Canis lupus familiaris: one gene and its partners. The protein of the gene in region 6 purifies or fractionates together with the protein of the main gene of each other region. This does not show direct contact. Links are inferred from orthologs where the notes say so. Each region holds a gene or a part of one and is shown on either strand. Other genes may lie near its edges.

Region 1 (3,500 bases), on a different chromosome or scaffold from region 6:
GCGGGGTCGTGAAGGTCAATTGTTCTGTCCCAGAGGAAAAGCCCCCGATACATTTCACAATTGAAAAACTCAAACTAGATACGAAAGGTTTCAAGCAAAAAAGAGAAAAAACTTCTCCCAACCGGAATTTCATGATGCTGGAGTTCACAGTGGAGGAACAGGACCACGTTATATTTTTCCAGTGCCAAGCCAGGATCATTTCTGGGACCCACATGGAGACCTCTAGAGCCATCAAGAGTGAACTGGTCACCGTGACGGGTTAGAGTCCTACTCTCCTTTTTATCACTCTTTCTGCCTTGCTGGTTTGGGATGGGGAGAAAGACCCCAGAAATCAGGAAGGGGGGTGGGGCCTTCTGGCTGGGCTTCTGTTTTCAAGACTGTTCTTAACCACTTCAAGGCTATGTTTATAGTTTAAAATATATGTGTGTATATGTGTGTTTGTGTGTACATGTAAAATTTCCCAAACAAAAGTTTCTCAAATAATACTTAATATATGAGGCATTTTGCCATTTTCTATTCGTTTGTATTTCAGTTTTTTAAAACACTGGCCATGACTCCGTGAAATGATGCATTGTGTAACCTGCAGCTTGGAAATCATGGCTTTAAGCCAACAACCCCCAAGCCTGGGTCAGACACCAGGAGGTGGAGTCTGGAGGGGATAGGGAGGGAAGGGAGTTCAGGTCCTCCGCCTTTGCCTCCCACATTTGATAAAAGACTCCCCTCTTCTACCCACCCCTTATCACCAAGATGTTGGACAAATAAGAAATAAATGAGGTGGCCTGAGGAGTGCTCTGGAGTGAGAAAGACAATAGCAGAGGGAAGCCTGGGACTGTGTATCCAGGATCAAGAGAGCTCCAGGACAGGCAACCCGCAGAATGGGACAAGGACTCGTGAGCCGAGAAGAGTCAAGGGAAGGCACACTCTAGTGCAGATAGCCTCAAGTCTTTTCTATAGGAGCCTCAAAGTTTGTCATAAATACCCTTCTGCTTTTGGTACCTATTTTCACCTCTGCCCATTGTGTGTGTGTGTGTGTGTGTATATATATATATACACACACACACATATATACAGGTATGAAATTATGTATATGTAATATTTTTCTGATTATAATACATGGTGTGGGTTCAGTTTTCAGAAAATATGGCACAATGTAAAGGATAAAGTGACAATCATTCATAGTACCACTGCTCAGAGAAAATCACTTGTAGGTCCCAGACTGGTTCTGCTTATACATTCATGCACGCACACAATTTTTGTTTGTTTTTCTTTGTTTTTACAAAAAACACAACCTGACCAACATACTGTTTTATAACTTTTCTTTAACTTATCAATATGTTACAAACTTTTGTCTGTATCAAGGAATACAGATGTAGGTCTTTTTTTTTCGTGGTACCTCAGAATCCTATTATAGGTATGTACCATAATTTACTAGTACCATTATTTTTCCAGTGGTAAACATTTGGGTATTTTCCTAATTTTTTGCTATTAAAACAACCCTGGAATACACACACTTACACTTATCATTTGTACTTTTGCAAATATTTTATTTCATTATTATTTATGACATTGATTTCTGGTAGTCAAGTTGTTGATTCAAATGTTTGTGCATTTTAAATATTGATATGTATTACCAAAGCACTCCTCAGATTGGTTGAACATGTCCATCAAAAGTGATGCTAGTGTTTATTTTCCCACAACCTTGCTCTCAGAGTATTATCTACTTTCATTATTTTTTTGTCAATCTAATTGAGGCACAGTGATATATTGTTGTTCTTGTGATTTGTATTTCTTTGGCTTTTACTGAGGTCGAGTATGTTCTCTGTGTTGATTGACCAATTACTACATTTCCCCCCATAAACTGCCTGCTCGTATGCACTTGGCCCATTTTTACTGTTTCTGATTGATTTGTTTGAGTCCTTTATAAATTAAAGGCATTAACTCTTTGTTGAGTACTGTGCAAATATTTGCCCAAGTTTGTCATTTGTCATTTGTCTTTATTTTATAAGCTTTTCAAGCAGAAGTGTTTCATCTCTGTATAATCAAACCTATCCATCTTTTTCCTTTTGGCATCTCAGTTTCGTGATTCACACCTGAAACTTATTAAAGAGTAAGATGGGAGGGAGCATTAGAGCAACTTAAGAGAAGGTTTTTGAGAGGAAAGTTTCAATTTTTTTTAATTAATAAGGAAGGACAGTAATTGGCAAAAAAAAAAAAAAAGATTAAAAAAAAGGGGGGAGGACATAAGTGCCTCTTCCTCTTGTCCAGATTTGAGCCTGAGTCCAACCAGTTTATCCTCTTCTTGTAGAATCCTTCTCTAATCCCAAATTCCACGTCAGCCCCGAAGGAGTGATCACAGAAGGAGATCAGCTCTACATTAGGTGCACCATTCAAGTGACACATCTGGTCCAAGCATTTCCAGAAATCATAATCCAGAAGGACAAGGCAATTGTAGCACACAAGAGGCATGGTAACGAAGCCACCTACTCAGTGATGGCCATGGCGGAGCACAATGGCAATTACACATGCAAAGTGGAAGCCAGCCGGATATCCAAGGTCAGCAGCATCGTGGTCAACATAACAGGTAGGGCTGCTGCTGGAGGGTGTGGGAATATGATGGGCTTAAGCAGTCACCATGCTGGAATCCAGAATGGCCAGTGAGGGCTGATAGTTCTGTTCCTGCTTGTCTGAATGATGTACTCAAATGGGGTTGTGGTGCTCAAGTGAAAAAGTCAATGCTGAGCCAGTAAGCAGTTAAATGTGGTGGTTGAGTGTGCAAGTTCTGGCATCAAATCCCAATACTGTCACTCATTACTAGGTGACTTACTGAGCTTCTCTGTGGCACAGATCTATGAGATGGGGATAATGACAGCAGTCACCTATAGGACTGTTACAATGACTAAGTGATGTGGCTCTGCTATAAAGAGCCTTATACGGGGATCTCTGGGTGGCGCAGCGGTTTGGCGCCTGCCTTTGGCCCAGGGCGTGATCCTGGAGACCCAGGATCAAATCCCACATCGGGCTTCCGGTGCATGGAGCCTGCTTCTCCCTCTGCCTGTGTCTCTGCCTGTGTCTCTGCCTCTCTCTCTCTCTGTGTGTGACTATCATAAATAAATAAAGATTTAAAAAAAAAAAATAAAGAGCCTCATACGGAAGAAGCACTCTGTGAATGTTAGTTAACATGTCTATTATTATACCACATTTATCTTTCCTATGTGCCAAGCACTAGCCTAGATCCCAGACATAGGTCCTAAGATAGGGTCAGGAGTGAGAAAGCATTAATAAATGAAAAAACAATAGTAACAATTCCCTTTTGTTGAACACTATATGACTGGATTATATACATTTTCATTTCATGCTTATAACAATGCTATGAGATAGGTGTCATGATTCTGCATTTATGGATGTGGAAATTAAGGCTGAGGTGTTAGGTCACTCACCCAGAAATTACAGGATTACCAGATGGTAGAACAAAAGTTATCCTCAGGTCCATTCGACTTCCA
Region 2 (3,500 bases), on a different chromosome or scaffold from region 6:
CATGAAAGACACAGAGAGGGAGAGAGGCTATATATATATATATATATAACAACTTCTTTATCCATTCATCAGTCAACGGGTGTTTGGGCTCTTTTCATAATTTGGCTATTGTTGATAATGCTGTTATAAGCAGGTGCATGTGCCCCTTCAAATCGGTATTTTTGTATCTTTTGGATAAATACCTATTAGTGCAATTGTTGAGTCACAGAATAGTTCTAGTTTTAGCTTTTTGAGGAACTTCCACACGGTTTTCCAGGGTGGCTGCCCCAGTTTGCATTCCCACCAACAGTGTAAGAGGGTTTCCCTTTCTCTGCATCCTCACCAACACCTGTTGTTTCCAGTGTCGTTAATTCTAGCCATTCCAACAAGTGTGAGATGGGATCCCATTGTCGTTTTGATCTCTATTTCCCTGATGATCAGTGATGTTGAGCATCTTTTCATGTGTCTGTTAGCCATCTGGATCTCTCCTTCAGGAAAATATCTATTCATGTCTTCTGCCTATTTCTTAACTGGATTATTTTTGGGGTGAGTTTGGTATGTTCTTTACTGACTTTGAATACTAGGCCTTTATCAGATACGTCATTTGCAAATATCTTCTCCCATTCCTTTGGTTGCCTTTTAGTTTTGTTGTTTCCTTTGCTGTGCAGAAGCTTTTTATCTTGATGAAGTCCCAGGAGTTCATGTTTTCTTTTGTTTCCCTTGCCTCCGGAGACATGTCTAGTAAGAAGTTGCTACAGCCAAAGTCAAAAAGGTTGCAGCCTGTGTTCTCTAGGATTTTGGTGGTTTGCTGTCTCCCATTTAGGTCTTTCATCCATTTTGAATGTATTTTTGTGTCTGATTTAAGAAAGTGCTCTGGTTTCATTCTTCTGCATGTGGCTGTCCAATTCTCCCAACACCATTTGTTGAAGAGATTATTTTCCATGGGATATCCTTTCCTGCTTTGTCGAAGGTTAGTTGACCATACAGCCGAGGGTCCATTTCTGAGTTTTCTGTTCTATTCTATCCATCTGTGTGTCTGTTTTTGTGCCAGTACCATACTCTCTTGATGACTACAGCTTCGTTATAGAGCTTGAGGTCCGGAATTGTGATGCCACCAGCTTTGCTTTACTTTCCAAAATTGCTTTGGCTGTTTGGAGTCTTTTGTGGTTCCATAGGAATTTTAGGTTAAACATGTATTTCTGATGCTCTGACTTCTGGTTCCTTGTGGACCTTGGAGGGACTGCCCTTTTCAGAACTAGCAAATTCCTGGATAGTAAACAACTCACCTTCAAAGAACAGGCCTTTCATAAGCAAACCAACCCCAATCACATCCTTTAAAAAACTCTCACACACTGAGACACTATCCACCCGCTGTAATCACTTCAGGGCCAGGTACCAGATGACTGCAGATAGCCTCTACCGCCCCAGAACCTGCTGAAATTATTCAAAGTAGCCAGTCCTAAATCTGCTAACCCTGCCTCAGAAACTACAAAACAAGCTCTTGCCTATGTTTTCTTCTTGCTCCCTCTGCCTCCTAGGCCAACCGTTGTACTTCCCTGTGTGGCCTTGCTTGGCGCGGCGCATGTCCCCTCCTCTTGGGAACTGTCAATAACTAGCTACCTCTTCAATAGCAGTGGTCTTCCATCTGTTGGCCCCACCACACCAAAATAATTTAAAAACATTTCCATTTCCCCATCTGGAAAATGGAATCCACCCTACAGAAGTGTATAAGGATTAGCCAAAATTCACAAAAGCATCTAGCCTGGTACTTTGCAAATAACAGATGCAAATATCTAATAAATGACTGCTGTTATCAACAAGGCACAAGTTATTGTTTGAAACAAGATAATTCTTATAAACATTTCAGAATTCTGAGATCATCGTTAGATCATTAGATACTTCGCTTATGCTTTTTCAATTCTCTTTGATTGCAGAACCCAACTGTAAAAGATCTTATTGGCTTTGGTCTTCAAGTAGCCAAAGGCATGAAATATCTTGCAAGCAAAAAGTTTGTCCACAGAGACTTGGCTGCAAGAAACTGTATGTAAGTATAAGAATCTATGTGCCACAGTCCAAATTAAGTGACAAAGAGGAATCTGTTTCCCACTGTTGAAACTAGTGAGGGTGTTTTCTCTTCTTATGCAAAAGTCCTTTATTTCCCTTACAGTTTTAAATCAAAATGTAAGCACTGGGGAGGTAGGCGGGGCTTTCAGGCTTTATCAAATGGAGAATTTAAAAGGAATTCTCCAGAGGGGGTCTTAAACAGCTGTTGTGTGCTTTTGCTTTTCTTTTCCCTTCCCACCAGTAGCCCCCAGTGTTGTGGTTTCACACTGCATTAGTGTTAGGGAGGGAGAATTTGATCTTCAGCATTTTACAGTGAAAAGGAGAAGGCCGGTAACACAAATACCAACATATTGCAACTTCCTAAGACTGGATTTGAAGTCAGCCTGCAGAAGCCCTACCAAAAATGGTATTTGGGAATGAATATACAAAGAGCTTTATTTGTGTCTGGCTGCCTGGGCTGTATAATTCAACAGTCAACAGTTTGTAATGGATTCAGTGCTTTCCTCACATAGCACTGATTCATGACTTATGGTATGTGTGAATGAGAGAGCTCTGCTATTAATTTCCTACCTTGGTTTTGGTCAGTGTAACAACATAAAAGCCAGCTTAAACAAAGGATGCATAGCCTCAGATAGCGGAAATTGATTTTTGTTGAGCCTTGCTTGCTGTGTTCATCGGATGCTTTACTGTGTATCCTATTTTTCTGTTATCTCCGTGGTGGGATATGTGAATTTTCTGTAATACCCTAGCCCATTTGTGAAAGAAATGGTAGACTAACAGTCCTGTGTCATCTCTCCCCCATAAAACTGAGTATTACTAGTAAGATAACAAGGGAAGATCTGCGATTGCTTGTGGTAGTCAATTGGCAAACTTGATTTAGCAACAAAGGAAAGCTAGGAGGGGGGCCAACAAAAGAGCAATTAAAGCAAGAGATTTTCTCATGCCACATCATTCATTGATCTCTTTGCCTGGCCTGTTGAATTTGTGATATAAATGTCGAGCATTTTTGTTCAAGAATTCCCATTGAAATTTAGTGTTGATCAGTAGAGGCCAGATGAAGCCCACTCTGCAGAAGCTACAGATTTTGAATATGAAGTCCCTGTTGCTACCTATAGATAGTCAGCATCACTGTAAATTATTCTATTTCAGGCGCCAGTAATAATTTTTGTCCTTTCTATAGGCTGGATGAAAAATTCACTGTCAAGGTTGCTGATTTTGGTCTTGCCAGAGACATGTATGATAAAGAATACTACAGCGTACACAACAAAACAGGCGCCAAACTACCAGTGAAGTGGATGGCTTTAGAAAGTCTGCAAACTCAGAAGTTTACCACCAAGTCAGATGTGGTAACGTACTGATCATCCCTGACCTCTCCTCTTTTACTTTCATACCCAACATTCATAGTAGTTTTATGGCAATTTAATTTTTTTCAAAAAAAGGAAGCATTCCACACGACT
Region 3 (3,500 bases), on a different chromosome or scaffold from region 6:
TTTTTGTTTCCCTTGTCATAGATTCATTGATCATATAAGCATGGGTTTACTTCTGGGGTCCCAACTCTGTTTCATTCATCTGTGTCTGTTTTTGCCAGTACCATAGTTTTGATCACTACAGCTTTGTAGTATAGTTTGAAACCTGGGCTTGTGATACCTCCAACTTTGTTCTTTCTCAAGATTGCTTTGGCTGTTTGGGGCCTTTTGTGGTTCCATACAAACTTTAGGATTTTTTGTTCTAGTTCTGTGAAAAATTACATCGAATCTGTAGATTGCTTTGGATAATCTGGGCTTCTTCACGTGCTTTACATCCTAGGAACCACAGGATGAAAGTCGTAGCATTTATATTTCCAGAAAGTGTAAGCAGATGCACATGTATACGTTTATTGAGGAAAGAGCCAAAGGTTTCATTATATTCTCAAAGTGTTTTGTTACTGAAAAAGGTTAACTGTTGCTTTTCTGTAACTAGTACTTAATGTTTATTTTGATGAATAGTTCTCAGGTGCCTTCTATGTCTAGGTTATTGTGCTTATGGTTATTTTTTATGGAAATATTTTACATTCTTGTATGCTAATACAACTAATATGTCTCTGTTCACAGATTCCATGCAAGCATGTTTTTTGCTATGACTGTGCTATTTTACATGAAAAAAAAGGAGATAAGATGTGTCCAGGGTAAGATTATCATTACATTTTTAAATAATAAAGTTTGTGATGAGATGAATTGTAATCTAGGTTAAAGGCCTGGGTATGATATAAGTCAGCAGCAGGATATCAAATATGCAGACATGGCTGATCTTTCTTTGTGAGCCCAGAGTTGGCCATAGCCTTCTCCTTAGGATAGGGCTAGATAGCTATTTGTCAATTCAGATTGGCCAAAACAAACAACATTTGTCATCACAAAATTACTATTATAAATGAGAACAGTTTTGTTTTGTTTTATTTTGTTTTGTTTTCTGATGGGATACGTGAGAGATAGTATCAAGCAGTGATTGAGAACAGGGACTTTGGAATTAGAATTCTTGGCTTCAAATCCCTTTTCTGACATTTATTAGCTATGTCCCTGGTTGTTTCTTCATCTGTAAAGTGGAGCTAATAATAATATCTACCTCCCTGTGTTGTTGTTAGAGCTAAACTAGTATATATATAGTACCTTACATTTGATAAGTACTGTGTTAAGTATAAGTTATTATTTATTACCTCGAAATCTTATTATTTATGTCTGGAGTATTATATCTTAGAACACGATCGTGGCATCAGCTCAGATAAGTTAATGAAGAAGATCTAGAGGTATTGGTTGCTACTGATCTGATTTGGGATGATCTTGAGAGATCCAGAATAAGGAATTTTTATATCAGTTTAGAATCCCTGATAGAAGGCTAAAGAAAGCTTTGAGACAAACTTCCTTGGGACAACTGTAAGCTGCTGAGATTTTATAACCTGGGTCAGAAGCTATCCCAAGATTGGTAGTATTGGTTGATAACAGAATTACAGATAGTTCCAGGATGATTTCTTTTTTTGGTGTAGGAAGATTGGCATCACTGAGAGAGAAGAGATGATTCAATAAGTATTCTAATATTAATATTTAAAAAGGAATTTAGGTTTCAAGATATTAAGTGTAACTCCTCAGTAAGTACCTCACTAGTTAGCCCTTAGCTATTTGAGAACATAAGCCTATCTGGCTTAACAGACTCAGGTCAGGAAATGAAGAAATGGCAACCCAAGTTATATAAATATCATACACTGTTGCTTTTAAGCATCACCCAAAACAAAGTACCTTATATCCTGTTACTGTAGAGATATTTCTGAGTTTACAGCAAATTAGGAACAAGAAATGGGAACTGTGCCGAATGGGACTAAAGGGAAGCCTGCTAGGATCAAGGAGTGCCAGTCTTACAGCAAGGACGGAAATATGGACACAACTCAAAATAAAAAATATAGAGCCATTTAATATAATTTCAAAGGACCTGACACACATATTCAGTGATCATAGCTTGTGTCTCTGTATATGTAGTACTTAACTAGTGATTCAATTCTGTCACTTTCATTGTTTCCTTTATCCTAAGGATATTCTTTAAGGTAGGGCAAAATAGAAAAACACTGTGAGTTAGGTGGAATGCATGTTTTAACCCCATATTGCAGATGAAGAAATAAGCAAAAAGATTAAGTGACTTTTCCAAGATTACAGAGCCAATGCTTGACCTCATTTCTTCTGATACCTAGTTCAGTCCTCTTTCCACTATTTCCAACAGACTACAAAGGCAAATGTGGATTAAATACAGTGAATGAAAAAGAGTTGTAATTTTGACCCTGAGTCTTTAAGAAAATACTGAGTTAAATTTAGTGCCTACAGTTTAGAAAGGAGTGTTTAGTATTTTTTTAGTAGTGAAATTGTCTGGTAACTCTTCCTTAAGGGACTCTTGATAGTTTGAATTTAAATTGTTCACATTGTTTAATATTAGGAACCCTGATAACTGGGATGATCTTACTAATTTCTGTAGTCCTTGCGGTATCTTTTACTTAGTGTTATTTGCTCAGCACATACTGACTGCTCAATAAATACCATACAGGTTTGAATTCTAGGACTATGACAGATCTTTGGTTTAACCTTTCTGGATATTTTTGCAAATGGATGTAAAGCGTAGAGTTCTTTGAGACAACAAGATCATTCTAGGCCTTAGGAAGAATGGGTCTCTTTTTAAAACCTAATCTGGGGATCCCTGGGTGGCGCAGCGGTTTAGCACCTGCCTTTGGCTCGGGGCGCGATCCTGGAGACCCGGGATCGAATCCCACGTCGGGCTCCCGGTGCATGGAGCCTGCTTCTACCTCTGCCTATGTCTCTGCCTCTCTCTCTCTCTTTCTCTCTCTCTGTGACTATCGTAAATAAATAAATAAATAAAATTAAAAAAAAAAAAACCTAATCTGTTTGATGAGCACTTCTCATTTTTTCTTCAGAGTTCTGAGGTTGGTAGAAATGCTGATGCTTAATAGGGAACAGACCGCAGAATGGGAGAGAAGTTAAGGGTTCACTTTCTGTAACTATAACTTTTAATTGTGAACTTCTGCAATATTTTCCACAACTGGTTTTTAAAAACAGGCCTATTTGTGAAATTATGTGCATTGTCTTTGTAGTTTGCTTTTAGTAAATCAGTTTTTTCCCCTTCTAATTTAGCTGTAGTGATCCTGTGCAGCGAATCGAGCAGTGTACACGAGGTTCTCTCTTCATGTGTAGCATTGTTCAAGGGTGCAAGAGAACATACTTGTCTCAGCGAGACTTACAGGCTCATATCAACCACCGCCATATGAGAGCTGGAAAACCTGTTACCCGTGCTTCACTTGAAAACGTTCATCCTCCTATTGCTCCACCACCAGCTGAAATCCCTGATCGTTTTCTGATGCCGCCAGATAAGCACCACATGAGCCATATCCCGCCAAAGCAGCACATCATGATGCCGCCACCTCCTTTGCAACATGTGCCACACGAGCACTATAATCAGCCAC
Region 4 (3,500 bases), on a different chromosome or scaffold from region 6:
GGAGAATATTTAAATAAACAGTGGTGAATCTCACTTATTAACTATCCCGCAGCCACTAAATTACTGAATATTTTCAAAGACTTGTGAATATGAAAACTATATGGAAAAATAAGTAAACCTGTGTGAAGTAATAAAGCAAAAGCTGAGTATAAAACTTTATATATACCATACTTTGAAGCAGCTGAAAATATGCATGCATATGAACAAGGATTAAGATGAACTTGAATTCATTTTGGCCTGAATGAATTCAGGCCATTATTTTTCTTTCTAAATTTCTTCTAGGGGCCCCTGGGTGGCTCAGTCAGTTAAGCGTCTGCCTTCAGCTCAGGTCATGATCCCGGGGTCCTAGGATCAAGTCTCTCATCATGCTCCCTGCTCAGCGAGGAGTCTGCTTCTCCCTCTCCTTCTGCTTCTTCCCCAGCTTGTGCTGTCTCTCTCTCTCTTTCTCTTGCTCTCTCTCAAATAAATAAAATCTTTTGAATAAATAATAAATAAATTTATTTCTTCTAGATTCTTGTACATTCTCTTAATAATAAAACATGTTTCCAACACTCCCCAGCCACGAGACGTTTTGTGCTAATTTTTAGCCTTTCGTAGGGTGGCTTCTCATCCATACTTCAGACCTGTTTTCTCCTCGTGGTTTCAGATAAAATCTACCTGGTCGACTTGAGTAACGAGCAAGCCATGTCGCTTACCATCGAGCCACGGCCCATCAAGCTTAGCCGCAAGTTTGTCCCTGGCTGCTTTGTGTGTCTGGAGTCACGGACCTGTAGCACCAACCTCACCCTGACAGCCGGCTCCAAACACAAGATCTCTTTCCTTTGTGATAACCTGACTCGCCTGTGGATCAACGCCGAGAAAACCATAAGTACGTCCCCTTAGTTAGCACCGTCCTCCGGGGCCCATGGGCAAATCTCCCTGCCGCGCCTTATCTTCTTAATGGGGTCTGCTGAGTAGGTTGGAATAGTGCACCCTACAGTGCAGGGTGAGCAAGGGCAACCAAGCAGCGAATGGTGAGGTGGAGACGTCCCCCACTAGGACCAGAGCCTCAGCTGGAACGGGTGTCCTTCAGAAGTGCATTGCACTTCCAACTTCATGCTTGTGTCCTCTGCTTAGCCTTCCAGCATCTTTCATGAGATCCTGTCCTCTGTGTAACCGCCCCACCAACCCACCCCACCCCCGCTTCCATGTTCAATGAGCCCTTGTCTCCTCTTACATGAGATTGAGTCTTGAGGTCAAGACTGTGGCTTGTTTCATTTTTTTGTCCCTGTGTCCCCTGGTAGTGCTGGACATGTATTAATCATGAAATAAATGTTTGATGAATGGAGGGCAGCAAAACCCCTAGTCACCTCCCCACTGGGCCACCATGACCTCTGACATGGATGTTTAGAGTTTCTATAGATGTGGCAGCAGAGGCCACAAGACACAAGACAGCCAGCCATGCTAAGAAGTGACAGATATCTCCCCAACTCCATCCCTGCTCTGCCTGCTGCACAGAGCCACCTCCCCAGAGTCAGTCGGGGATGCTGGGAAGCAGGGTGGAGGAAAAACCTATGCCCTGCCCATACTTAGCATCTGAGACTCAGATACAGAGAAGAGAGGCTGACACACAGGAAGAGAACGTTTCAACCCTAAATACTCCCCAGAGGTTGGTCTGCCAGTTTAGGGCAGAATAAGAATGTGAGAGGGTGGGCCAGAGGGGCAGCTAGAAAAAGAGCATGGAGAGAAGGAGGCCAGGAGAATGGAGGACAGAGTGGGTGGGGAGAGACCAAAGGGAAAAGCCAGAAAGTCTAGGATGGTCTCTACAGCTGGGGAGGATGCACTCCCGCTCTCCTCCCTGCTGGTAGCACGAGCCCCTCTTTTCCAGGCTGCCTGGACCACCGGAACTGCCGGAGGAGGCCCTACTCCCTCCAAGTGCCTGTGGACATCCTCCAGCTGCCTGTGCAGCTGCACGACTTCTCCTGGAAGCTGCTGGTGCCCAAGGACAAGCTCAGCCTGGCACTGGTGCCTTCCCAGAAGCTGCAGCAGCACACACAAGAGAAGTTCTGCAACACGAGCTTCAGCTACCTGGTGGCCAGCGCCGTCCCCGGCCAGGATCTTTACTTCGGCTCCTTCTGCCCTGGAGGCTCCATCGAGCAGATCCAGGTGAAGCAGAACATCTCGGTGACCCTCCGCACCTTTGCCCCCAACTTCCAACAAGAGGTTTCCAGGCAGGGCCTGACCGTGTCCTTTATACCATACTTCAAAGGTAAGGAGGTCTCCCTCTCTCTCTCTCTCTCTCTCTCCCCATCTTCCTGCCCCTTTCTTGTTTGGGGCATCCATCTTATTTTGCTTTGTGATCGTCTTAATTAAGCTGTCAACTTGAAGAGTAGGGAGAGATGAGTGGGTTGGTCCTCTCACAAGATGGTGCATCCTCATCCCAACTCTTCCATTAACCTACTGTGGAAAAATCCCAGGAGTCAGAAATAAGACTCTGAAAGTGGGAGGTGACAGTTGGCAGCAGCAGAACAAATAATCAGGTTCAAGCCTTTTTTGGAAGCAGGCAGGGGCATACATGAGAGCTAACCAGATATTCCCGAATCTTGGATTTTTTAAGGTGGGAGCATAAAAATCCTTATGCAGGCATTTCTGTGAGTCCACTTTGACCATTCGGAAGGTGGTGTGGAGTGCACAGAGGAAGGCAGGTGGGGGAGAGATGGGTCTCCAGAGTGCCAGGGTCCTGTTCCCAGCAAAGAAACACAGCCCCTCCTGCCAAGCAAGTGTTTGATCTTCAGGGTGCTGGGCAGCCAATGGGATCTAAATCCTTTGCAACGGGAAGCTCTCTATGGTTGGTTTTCAAAGTCACAGTTGCCATTACAAGTTGCTCAAAGTCAGAGGCCACTTAAAAATTGACCAAGACTTTTATCTGAGGTTTACTTCAGATTTTGTTCCCAGAGGCCTTAGTGGGGAGGGAAGAATTCTTTGGCCATAAGATTAAGGTTAGTCCAGGCTGCCTGATATCTCTGCAGCTACCCAAAGAACTCCTCCTGGGGAGTCTTTGAAAACAAGACATACCTTCCTCAGTGTAGACTGTTGGAGTTGATCTCACCGGAAGGTCAGGTGACATGTTGGGGGTCTTTTGCTTTGCAATTCTGTTCTTCCCAGAACCGGAAGTGATTTAATCTCTGAAACAGAAACCAGTCCCTACCAGTCCCACTGTAGAGCAGAGCATCAGGTAGATGTTAGCTATGTCGAGGGCGTTTCTGAAAGGAAGCTTTCAGAAATAACCAGCGGTTTGGCAAACTAGCCTTGGGTTATTTTTTTTGGTTGGTTGGTTGGTTGGTTGGTTGATCGATTTTGTTCAAAAGACCTGAGCACTTAACCTGAGACTCTCACCTTGTGCTGACCAACAATTACTAGCCACGTGTGGCAATTTATGTTTAAATTAATAACAAAATTAAAAATGTAGCTCCTCTGTCAAGCACATTTTGGGTCTTCTACAGACACACATGGCAGTGGCT
Region 5 (3,500 bases), on a different chromosome or scaffold from region 6:
GATTCCCAGATGTGGTGCATGAAACTTCAATGGTTTCACCAATACTTGTAGTCTGATTCTCCAGGTTTCCGGTGATCATGGGCGCCACGCGCTCTATGCAGACACACACACACACAAAAATCACACAACATTCAGTTATAACTTTTGAAATGGTTTTAGCATCAGTTAACTGATAAATAGTTTAAACTTAGTAAACAGTAAGCCACTGATTTCCTAAGCTGCAAATACACAGAGGTTGATGACAATACCATTGGTCACCAGGTAAAGTCAAATGAAACAGGTCAGGACAGTTGAGATAAGTCACTGCTCCTCTATGAACATTCCTATTAGTGACTCTAGTTGATTGTCACATCACAAAATGAAGGTTGTCACCTTTATGGGTTTTTCCTAATTAGACACGGCTTCCCCCAAGGGGAAACTTTCCCTCCCACGAAAGTTCCAGCTAGTGACACCCTTGAAGTTTGCCATGTTTCTCTTGGAAAGTGCGAAACTTCAATGTAATTCAACAAAGAATACCTTATATTTATTTGGCTTTTTTTTTTTTTTTTTTTTTTTTTTTACAAAACTCAGTTATACTATCTCTGTTGCTCACTTTCAACCCTGGAATGGACAAGAATATTAACCTTATTTCACAGAGGAAAGAACTGCAGTTCATGGGGCAGGGGGGGTGGGTAAATGATTCATCCAAGTCCTTATAACTAAGTAAGCATTTGACCTAATAATAGAAACTGGTGAGACTGAAAGCCTAGTCCAGTGCCATTCCCACTAAAACACAAAAGAGCAACACAGAAATCCCTAAAGAAAGTCAAAGATCTCAAGAAAATTAAGCCCACGAGTATTTCTTTCAATGTATAGCAAAACTTTCAAAATATAGAAATATTTTGTCCACAGCAATCAAATGGAATCTTGCTGAAAGAATCCACTTCAATATTTAGCAAAACGAGATTACCTCATTGGTGAACTACATTAGGGCTTAACAAATATCCTGGGCTCTGGTCTGTTTCTAAGAATAATTTTAGGAAAACAACTTAGGAGCTCTTAGAAAAGCAAAGCAGCTCATTGTGAGCACAAATTTCCTGGGCATGGCCCCTTCACATCTCTCTCTGAATTCTTCCACTAATTTGAAACCAGACAGTCACCAAGGTGAACAGAAAACACATGGCCATGTATGTGATATGATATGAAGGGCCCTGGCAATGACTTCACCCTAAAATATTCCTTCTTTTGACACCTAAGTCTTAACACCAGCAAATACTATCCTAGGGTCTGTCTGAAGATACCTCTTAAACTTGCCAAGGCCTCTGAAGAAGATATTATTCCTCTAAAACTTTGGTATAGATTCATTCACCTGGGCAGTTTGTTGCCCTTCTTAAGAGTAAAATCAGAGAACACATGCATCCCAGAAACTGGGAAGGGACACTCATGAGGGGAGAAAATGGAGAGAGTGGACACAAAGAGAACTTTCCAGATCTGTCTCATTTCCCCAGAGACAGAGGCATGGCTGCACAGCTCCTGTGCAGGACACGGGTTTAGATGAGGTGTGGAGAGTGGCTCCCTGGGGCATTTTACAAAGCTATCAGCTCATTAAAATGATCATCCCATTGATCCCTACGTTGGACTACATGGGATGACCCAGAGGTGCAAGCTGTGAGTGCAGCACCCCTCCCACGGGCTCTCCCAGGTCCTAAATAACTCTTCATGCAGCAGATGCCTTCCTGAGCACCTACTATGTGCCACTATGTTCTGTGATGCGAGCTACAGCAAGGAGGAAGAGAAAACAAATCCCATCCTCATGGACACAAAGACCACAATGTGCCATGGCTGCCCCGTGGTTGCCTGTGTTTTCATCTTGTCTACCTACTTACCATTGTGAACTTCTGGAACCTTCTTAGCTCATAGTAGGCATTCCATGAATACGTGTCTACTAAAATAAACAAATGCCAAGGATAAAGCAGGAATTTCCCCAGTTTAAGCTAATCTCTTGTAGATAATAGTGAAGTCCTATCATTAGAGCTAGAAAGGAACATGTTATTTTCTCTTTTTAATACATCACTTCACCACTATTGGCCTCTTTCTGCCTCCAGAACATTCGGTGAATAAGGCAAGTGTGCACCAGTCTACTTCCTATGCTCCTATAGGACAGTGATCTTACAGTCCCTAAAAGTACCACATTGAAGGCTTTCCAACTGTCTTTGATGACCAAAATTGCCTCCTTACCTAAAACTGTGAGCTGTCTGACCACACAATGTCTTTTCTTGGTCTTCCTGTCCTGAGCGAAGCACACATAGTCTCCTTGGTCCTGCAAGGACACATTCTGGAGCTCCAGGATCAAAATGTCACTTGTGCCATTAGAGAACGTGGTGGCATTCATTCTCCAAAGAGCATCCAAGTTCTTGCAAACAGGTGTGGGCACCTCTCCCGCATGGACTGCCAGAGCCTGTGGGCCAGACTTGTACCACGTGAGGTTCTCAAACGTAGTTCTGTCTGCAGTGCACCACAAAGACACGCTCTCCTGCTCGGTTGGCTGGGTGTCCGGTTGCAAAGTGATTTCAGGGCCCCCTGAAATATAAAACCTACGGTTAGAAAATGGTGATTTAATTTGGGCAGCACACTATTGTCTTCCTGTTGCCTTCAGACTGCTGTAAAGCACCAAGAGAAGTGAAGCCCTAGCAATCCCAGCAAAGGAATACAAGGAGACTACCAAACTAGACAGTTCGGGCTCCAAAATGTATTATTTTACCAAGATGCATTCCTCAGATACGTATCAAGTCTCTACTTTGGGCTCAAAACACAGCTTTAGAGATTAAAAAAAATCCAAAACATATTGAAAGCAGATAATTATACCAAGGAACTTTAAAAATTAGTTCCTCATTGACACATCACACTCAATGACACTGAAGCTATATTTATGACAACAAATTAGCCCGCACTGAACTCTTGACCACCTAGTCCGGTCAGCTAAAGCTTAACCATAAAATTAAGATGCACAATCAGAATCAGCAGCACTGGGCAGAAACTGCCTCTGTGTCATTGCAATTGCCTCCGGAAAACCCAACACTGTCAACAGCTCAGCAGCAAGCCCACCAATACTGATGGAACCCCAAGAAGCCAAGCGCTGTGCTAGACTAGGATGGTGGAGCCATAACCGTGATGCAGGATTTGTGGCTAAAAAAATATGCAAAACCATCCTCTCCCCTGAGGGAATGGGAGAGTCAGTTCTACCGACTTCCCACGCACCCAACAGCTAGCTGAGGAGTCTTCATTTATGAACCAAAGCATCCCCAATCAGCCCAAGTCCTCTTCCGAAACACCATGCCACTCCGGAATGGCAAGGGCCACAGAGCATCAGACAGCCTAGTGCCCCCTTGGCAAGAGATCTAACCCCCCCCCCCCCAAAGGGAGAGCAATACTCACTGATCACGTGGAAGGAGATGACCCTCTCTCCTCTCCCAACTTTATTGACGGCTTCGCATTTGTACAAAGCTGACACATTGGCTGCT
Region 6 (3,500 bases):
GCTTCTGCTGCACAGTCAGTGCTGTGAATGCTGTACCAGGGAGCCATTGCGTAGCAGGTGCAGCCTGGAGCCGCGGGGAACTGGGTCAGTAGGACCCACGGGACACCAACAATATGAGTGCTGATATGACCCCGGTGGATTGGGTTGCCATGGAACTTGGTCTTCTTTGTCTCCAGGCTTGTTGGCCTGTCCCTCAGGAGGCCCTGGTGATCCCTTGGGCTGTTGAGCAGGTCTCCTCAGGGCCTCCCCAGCCCATTCTCTGAGCTGGATGGTCCCCAGGGAGCATGCAGGCCACGCCCACATTGTGCAGTCCGTCAGCCTGAGGGGTTCAGGGGTGCAGGAACTGGCTAAAGTTCCTGCAGGAGGAGAGCTTGCAGAGCTGGGCTTGGGGCTCAGGGCCGGTAGTCTTGCCTAAGGCCTCAACCAGTCAAGAACACTTTTCCCCATCCATGGGTTCCCAGAGGAAGTTCTGGACTGATTCCAGGGCCTGCAGCATTCCCTGGAGAATATCCCAAACCTACCTTGCCGGTATATCCAGAATCACACAGTATCAGTCATAGCGGATGTGGTGGGATGACCTGCCTCATTCCCAGCAAGAACATACTTGCCTCGTTCACTTACCATGGACCCTGATGACCCCATCATTTCCAGATGAAGAAATAGGGCACAGAGAGGTTAGGTCATTACCCTGAGGTGATATGGCCGATGAGGGTAAAGGTGGGATCTGAGTTCGGGGAGTTTGGCTCCAGAGCCCACTCTTAACCGCTGCGTCATACCCTGCCTTGCTCATGCTCATAAAATGCTTTGGGAAGGTTGATGGAAGGGAAGGTCTGGGAAGCTCTTAGCATTGGAACTGTCAGAGTCAGAGCCTGGTAAACTGGGACCCAAGACTCAGGGCCATGGTGATTTCTCTTTCTAATCATATCCATACAACAGCCTGAGAGGTCTGCCTTCTCCCTGTTTTGCAGATGAAGACGTTGAGGCCCAAAGAGGGGAAGTCAGTTGCTTAGGGTCACATAGCAGGGAGACGTGGAGCAGGGCCTCTAGTTCAAGACCCCTGACCTGGTGTTCGTGCTGAGACCTCAGGCTGCTTCCCAGACCTTCTGGGACAGCCCCTGCCTTCCCCCAGGTGAGGTGATGGCCCATCAGGGCTGCCAAGATGGGGGGCATAGGGAGGGGTGGCCGTGATGGGTGGGAAGACCCTGGCCACATTTGTTGGAAGCTGGGACCAACCAGGATCTGTGGAGTGGGAGGTAGGAGGCAAAAGGGGGTGGCGGGGCTATGGGCATCACTGGAGAGTTTTCAGTTTGTTTTTTTTTTTTTTTCTGGGCCACGTGTTATCAAGAGAGGTACAAAAGTAAGGGGGTACTTAAACCAGAAAGGATTTGGGGAACACCTCCCCATGAGGTGACTTTTGAGTTGAGAACTGAAGGAGGCATGAGTTATTCTGGTGAAGTGGTCAGGGAAGAGCATTCAGGCAGAGGGAACAGCATGTGCAAAGGCCCTGTGGCTGGGTGAGCTCCCAGACATCTCTCCTTCCAGCTTCCTCTGTATCCCTGTCTTGGCTGCAACTATTAGCACCTTTCACTCTGGTGTGAGACCATCTCAGTCAGTCATGTAATTGCTCAGCAAGCCCTCAGTGAGCCCTCTCCTATGTGTTGTATGCCTGGGATATGGCCATGACTCAGATACTGTCCCTGCCCATGACCGACAGAAACTGACTCAGGGGGAAGTGAGGGAGGTTAGGGCTTCTGATTATGAGTCATTGCTTCTGTGCCTGGCTTTGTCCCAAGGAAGCCATTTATGGGTCCCATTATTATCCCCATTTTACAGGTTAAAAAACTGAGGCTCTGAAAGTCTAACTTATCCAAAAGAGGCTGGTGCCCTTCTTTGGGCCTCGGTGTCCTCGTCTGTAGAATGGTGGGTGGGGGTGGAGGCTGTCTAAAGGGCCCGGGCCCAGCAGCCCTGCCTGCTCCCAGAGTCCTTCACCCAGTGTGCTTTCTCATCTCCAGCCAGGACCATGGGCAGCAACAAGAGCAAGCCCAAGGATGCCAGCCAACGGCGCCGCAGCCTAGAGCCAGCTGAGAACACCCACGGTGGCGGCGGGGGTGCCTTCCCCACCTCACAGACACCCAGCAAGCCAGCCTCCGCTGATGGCCACCGAGGCCCCAGTACAGCCTTCCCTTCCGCAGCTGCTGAGCCCAAGCTGTTTGGGGGCTTCAACTCCTCGGACACGGTCACCTCCCCGCAGCGGGCGGGGCCGCTGGCTGGTCAGTGGGCTTTGGGAGCGTGGGTGCCTGCGGGCCGGGCCTCTCTCGCAGCAGGGCTGTGGGTGTCTTGGGCTTGGGGACTGTTGGGGGTTTCCTGGAGACTGTGGGTGGGGAAGAGCTTTATAAACTGGACAGTGTGGTGCAAATCCCACTGCCTTTGAGAGCAAATCCAAAGTGGACAGTAACAGGGTCTAGAGATATGGGCCTGCAGAGGGGAACCGAGGTGCAGGGGGCCCCGGGGGCTGTTGGCTCAGGGCAGCATGAGGACTGGGTTTGAGGCGTTGCTTTTTGCTCTGGGCAGCCCAGCGATGGGTCAGGTCGGGAGGCCTTGGGTGGCAGAGGGGGCAAGGGAGGGCAGGAGGCAGCTCTCTGGTTCTCAGGGGCCTGGCCCAGCGCCGCGATGCGCCCCTGCGCCCTCTGCTGGCGCTTCGCGGTATGGCAGTCCCAGGCCGGGGATGCTCACGGAAAGATGCCAACGTGGTCTCAGAGACACACAGCTGGAAGACACTCACACAAACACGTGCATTCTTCCCTCGACACACTCAGGGCCACACACACAGCAGCTCCTAAGATACCTATGCAGACCCTTGAACGAGATGAGCTGGAGACACCATCAAAGATGAGATACTCATAGATACACTGTGGACATAGAGACCCACTTAGGGACACATGGACGGGCACAGACATGCAACCAGGCAGATGTACGCAAACACAGACACACACGCACAGATAACCTCGTACTCCCAGATGAAGACACACACACAGGCAGTCAGAAGCCCCTCAAAGACACACACAGGGTACGGACAGGTTCAGCTAGGAGCACCATCACGGATACCCACAGGTTCACAGATGTACATACACACAGTGAGAACACACAGACGCACGGACACACAGGGACACTCACGGATGCCTTAGATACAGACACATACCCGAGTGAGACACAGACCCACAAACACACCCATTCATTTGTGATGCCCGTACTGTGAGCCAGGACTCTTCTGGTGCTGGGGACACAGCAGTATGCAGAGCATGGGGGAGAAAAACAGAGCAAGGCTCGTAAAATGTGTAGGCTGCTCGAAGGCGGTGCTGCCGTTGAAGGAGCAAAAAGGGCAGGGGGGGTCTTGGGGGGTATGGGGTGAAGGTTGTGGTTAAAATGGGGGACAGAGGGATCTCTTTGAGGGCACAGTACCTGGAACTGAGCTCTCCCCCAATACACCCAGTCACACAGAC
Region 7 (3,500 bases), about 7.9 Mb from region 6:
TGCAGTGTGATGAAGGACTCTTAAGAATTGTGTTAAAGAGACATAGAGCACAGGGGAGGTTACACCTACTGGAGTTGGGAGGCAGGTGTCATTTGCACTAGACTCTAAGGACACGAAACAGGTCCTGAGAGAAGCACACGTGCAGGCAGCTGAGAAAACCAGTGCCCACGAAGGTGTGACTCAGCTCAACCATATCCAAGAGCAGCAGTAGGATCAGCTCTGTGGTTGAGGCATGGGGTACAAAGGGCGCAGCACCGGAGGCTGGCACAGGTTTTGTGTGTCACCAGATTTAGACAACCCCTTCAGACTATACTGTCAGAATGAGCAGGAATTGGATTTGTCCTTATCTTCAGGCTTCTGCCCTAGGAGGCTGCCAGAGTAGGACCCTCCCTCCCAAGTTAAGCACCCCCAGAGGACTCATGCATTATAGTCCTGCCTCACTAAACTGGCACAACAAGGGTGAATAATTTTATACTTGTTAAGGGCAAAGGAGAAGTGAACTGGAGTGAATTGAGGGTAAGGGGAAATCTGGCACCACAGAGACCATGTAGTGTGTAACTGGGAACTCGGGCATCGTGGCATTTCAGATGCAGTATGTCTTCATATACCAAGCCCTTCTGGAGCATTATCTCTATGGAGATACAGAACTAGAGGTGACCTCTTTAGAAACACATCTGCAGAAAATTTACAACAAAATCCCAGGGACCAGCAACAATGGATTAGAGGAAGAGTTTAAGGTGAGTTGGAGCTGAACTCCCTCTTCCAGACTGAAGAATCCACGTGCTTTGGGGAATATGGGATGCTTGGCTCTCAGAGATTTAGCAACAAATGGGGAATCCCCTTGTGCATGGTTTTAAGAGGTGAGTTTCTGGCCCTTTACTCGTAACCTCGTCATTTTCAACCCATCCTGCATGTTAGAATTGCTTGGGTGATTCTGAGGCACCCAACCCACCCTGCACACTCCCCCCCACACACACACACACACGCACATACACAGGTGATTATAATCTACAGCAACCTAAACTTTTTCTATAAGGACCAGACAGTATATATTTTAGGATTGCAGGCTGTTTGGTCTCTGTTGCAACTGCTTAAAACTTTTAAAGAGCAACCATAGATGCTACATAAACCAATTGAGCATGGCTGTGTTTCCATAAAAGTCTGTTTATAGGCAGCAAGCCAAATTTGGCCCGTGGTTGCTGACCTCTGCTGTTGCCATTAGACAGTGGTTCTCAGCACACCTAAGGAACATGTCACACCTCTGTCAATAAAGTGTTCTCCAAAGAGATTCTGGGCAGCAGTGGGAAAGATCAAATCCCTTAAAGCAGTTCTTCTCAAACTATAACATGCACAGGAATAACCACAGAATCTTGTTAAGATGCAGGTTCTGATTTGGCAAGGGGAAACACTTAGGGCCTGAGATTCTGCATTACTAACATAACAAGACTATTGCTGGTTTATGGACTACACTTTAAGTAGCAAGGATCAGAAAGGAGCCTCAGAATCAGGAGAAGGGAGCATATGCATTTGAAAATAAGATTTTCTAAAGAGTCCAAGCTAGCCTTTGGGGTAGAACAGCAGGGAGAGAAGAAAGGCAGACACACTCCTTCCTATGAAGCTAGGATCCTTGCTCCAGGATCATATAATTCCAGTCCCGGGGAATCCCAGAAGGGTCCACAGGAGCCCACAAGGCAGTGTTCCCCAAACACTCTTGGCTTGTTCATTGAGCTTATGACAGAAGAAATAGTGTTCCAGCAAGAACATGTGGAAGTGGAGGTCAGGGCCCCAGTGAGGAACAGTATGCAATCAGAGTAGCCTGAAGATCCATGTCTGACAGGCATAATCTTGCCAAGTTACAGGGATCAGTAATGTTTCCCCTCTCCTTCCCGATTCAGAAGTTAACATCAATCAAAATCCAGAATGACAAGATGCGGACTGGAAACCTTCCAGCCAACATGAAGAAGAACCGGGTTTTACAGATCATTCCATGTAAGAGCCCTCCCCCCTCTCCAAAGCCTTAGTATTCCCTCCTTCCACTTCTGAGGTTACTAATTCATTATCGACTTGGAGACCAGAATTAGGGCACTGCCTTTTTTTTGCTCTTAGTTCTTTAGTGGCTTCTGGAAATGAGAAAAGCATGAAGGCCAAGAGGTTTCTCTCTCTCGGGCTGGGAACAGGCATGTTATTGCAGCTGGGATTATACCTACCCAGGGCCTGGCGAGAAAGGAAAGATTTAGAGAGGACAGATGATGTTGGGGAGCCACAGCTTCTGTCCTTCCTGCAGATGAATTCAACAGAGTGATCATTCCAGTTAAGAGGGGTGAGGAGAACACGGACTACGTGAATGCATCCTTCATTGACGTAAGTGATGGCTGTGTCCCCAGGACTGCCCCTGCTCCATGAGATTTGGCTGGGCCTTGCAGTGCCAGTGGGTGGGAGTATTGTGTTTGAGTCCGTCGTCAAATACAGAACCTTACCCAGCCTGCACATTAGGTCTGTCAGGCCCTAGAAAACAGAATGTGATGTGGAATACAGAGGGCACACACCAGAGTAATAACTTGAGGGGAAATTTCATAGCACAGACCATGGCCAAGGGCTGAAAGCCTCTGGCCTTTCCCATTCTTGTTTTCTTCATCCCAGCCCCAGTCCCCTTTTCCCCCACCCTTGTAGAAGGAGACCAGCATGTCAGACAGGGTTTGGTCCTTGACCAAAGGGGAGGTCTGCCTGGGTTGAGTTTGCCTCCAAGCAGCCCCATCCCATCCTAGTGGTCTGTCTTCTTCGCTAGCCCCTCCCTGATTAAAACACCTTACTCCTACCATTGACCTGGCTTGTACAGGGCTACCGACAGAAGGACTCCTACATCGCCAGCCAGGGCCCTCTTCTCCACACCATTGAGGACTTCTGGCGAATGATCTGGGAGTGGAAATCCTGCTCTATCGTAATGCTGACAGAACTGGAGGAGCGAGGACAGGTGAGCTCAGTCAGGTCCTGGGCTGTGGGAAACAGCACAGGAAAAGGTGAGGGGCTAAGAAGAAATGTTTAGCTTAAACTGTCCAAAGAGCCATATTCAAGCAGTTGACCTGAGCAGTCAGGAGTTTCTCTCAGGACTGGAAGAGCAATGCGGTCTGAGCTGCCAGACAGTTCCTGCCTCTTCTCTCCTAAAGATGGTTTTCCCAGTGCCTAGCTTTATGCACACCTCCTCCTCCCACCTCCCAGGCAGGGCAGAGCTAGTGAAACGAGGGATGCAGAGCCAGACCAAGGCTCTAATGTGGAACTCCTGAGTGTCCCTAAGAAGAGGGTGCCTTGTAGGCCAGAAAAATGAACTGTGGGAAGATGAGTGGCCTCTTTGCAGACTACAGAAAAGAAGACAGAAGAACTTGAGAAATAACTTAGATGTTTCTTCTGTTAAAATTCAATAGCAAGGAAATCTTTTAAAGAAAAAAAAAAAAGAATTGTCTGAGAATTCAGAATGTAAGGAACCCTAGAGGCCCTCTTGGGTC

Evidence for each region.
Region 1: the proteins of SRC (region 6) and PECAM1 purify together in Homo sapiens (affinity purification with western blotting; 3 studies listed by BioGRID and IntAct, with this or other methods). This does not show direct contact. The link is inferred for Canis lupus familiaris from reciprocal best matches to the Homo sapiens genes SRC and PECAM1.
Region 2: the proteins of SRC (region 6) and MET purify together in Homo sapiens (co-immunoprecipitation; 4 studies listed by BioGRID and IntAct, with this or other methods). This does not show direct contact. The link is inferred for Canis lupus familiaris from reciprocal best matches to the Homo sapiens genes SRC and MET.
Region 3: the proteins of SRC (region 6) and CBLL1 purify together in Homo sapiens (affinity purification with western blotting; 3 studies listed by BioGRID and IntAct, with this or other methods). This does not show direct contact. The link is inferred for Canis lupus familiaris from reciprocal best matches to the Homo sapiens genes SRC and CBLL1.
Region 4: the proteins of SRC (region 6) and CDCP1 purify together in Homo sapiens (co-immunoprecipitation; 4 studies listed by BioGRID and IntAct, with this or other methods). This does not show direct contact. The link is inferred for Canis lupus familiaris from reciprocal best matches to the Homo sapiens genes SRC and CDCP1.
Region 5: the proteins of SRC (region 6) and KDR purify together in Homo sapiens (co-immunoprecipitation; 5 studies listed by BioGRID and IntAct, with this or other methods). This does not show direct contact. The link is inferred for Canis lupus familiaris from reciprocal best matches to the Homo sapiens genes SRC and KDR.
Region 7: the proteins of SRC (region 6) and PTPRA purify together in Homo sapiens (co-immunoprecipitation; 4 studies listed by BioGRID and IntAct, with this or other methods). This does not show direct contact. The link is inferred for Canis lupus familiaris from reciprocal best matches to the Homo sapiens genes SRC and PTPRA.

The regions. Positions count from the first base shown.
Region 1 is NC_049230.1:14,719,091-14,722,590, forward strand, and holds part of PECAM1 (platelet endothelial cell adhesion molecule), read left to right. Parts: coding exon 1-258; intron 259-2,305; coding exon 2,306-2,581; intron 2,582-3,500. UniProt on the Homo sapiens protein: Cell adhesion molecule which is required for leukocyte transendothelial migration (TEM) under most inflammatory conditions.
Region 2 is NC_049235.1:55,825,270-55,828,769, forward strand, and holds part of MET (hepatocyte growth factor receptor precursor), read left to right. Parts: intron 1-1,913; coding exon 1,914-2,023; intron 2,024-3,223; coding exon 3,224-3,389; intron 3,390-3,500. UniProt on the Homo sapiens protein: Receptor tyrosine kinase that transduces signals from the extracellular matrix into the cytoplasm by binding to hepatocyte growth factor/HGF ligand. Regulates many physiological processes including proliferation, scattering, morphogenesis and survival.
Region 3 is NC_049239.1:13,089,015-13,092,514, reverse strand, and holds part of CBLL1 (E3 ubiquitin-protein ligase Hakai), read left to right. Parts: intron 1-600; coding exon 601-674; intron 675-3,171; coding exon 3,172-3,500. UniProt on the Homo sapiens protein: E3 ubiquitin-protein ligase that mediates ubiquitination of several tyrosine-phosphorylated Src substrates, including CDH1, CTTN and DOK1. Targets CDH1 for endocytosis and degradation.
Region 4 is NC_049241.1:43,687,438-43,690,937, forward strand, and holds part of CDCP1 (CUB domain-containing protein 1), read left to right. Parts: intron 1-646; coding exon 647-868; intron 869-1,867; coding exon 1,868-2,248; intron 2,249-3,500. UniProt on the Homo sapiens protein: May be involved in cell adhesion and cell matrix association. May play a role in the regulation of anchorage versus migration or proliferation versus differentiation via its phosphorylation.
Region 5 is NC_049234.1:48,227,523-48,231,022, forward strand, and holds part of KDR (vascular endothelial growth factor receptor 2 precursor), read right to left. Parts: coding exon 3,415-3,500; intron 2,560-3,414; coding exon 2,218-2,559; intron 94-2,217; coding exon 1-93. UniProt on the Homo sapiens protein: Tyrosine-protein kinase that acts as a cell-surface receptor for VEGFA, VEGFC and VEGFD. Plays an essential role in the regulation of angiogenesis, vascular development, vascular permeability, and embryonic hematopoiesis.
Region 6 is NC_049245.1:26,566,200-26,569,699, forward strand, and holds part of SRC (proto-oncogene tyrosine-protein kinase Src), read left to right. Parts: intron 1-968; 5' UTR 969-1,129; intron 1,130-2,012; 5' UTR 2,013-2,020; coding exon 2,021-2,270; intron 2,271-3,500. UniProt on the Homo sapiens protein: Non-receptor protein tyrosine kinase which is activated following engagement of many different classes of cellular receptors including immune response receptors, integrins and other adhesion receptors, receptor protein tyrosine kinases, G protein-coupled receptors as well as cytokine receptors.
Region 7 is NC_049245.1:18,694,564-18,698,063, reverse strand, and holds part of PTPRA (receptor-type tyrosine-protein phosphatase alpha), read left to right. Parts: intron 1-587; coding exon 588-737; intron 738-1,895; coding exon 1,896-1,989; intron 1,990-2,284; coding exon 2,285-2,361; intron 2,362-2,836; coding exon 2,837-2,971; intron 2,972-3,500. UniProt on the Homo sapiens protein: Tyrosine protein phosphatase which is involved in integrin-mediated focal adhesion formation.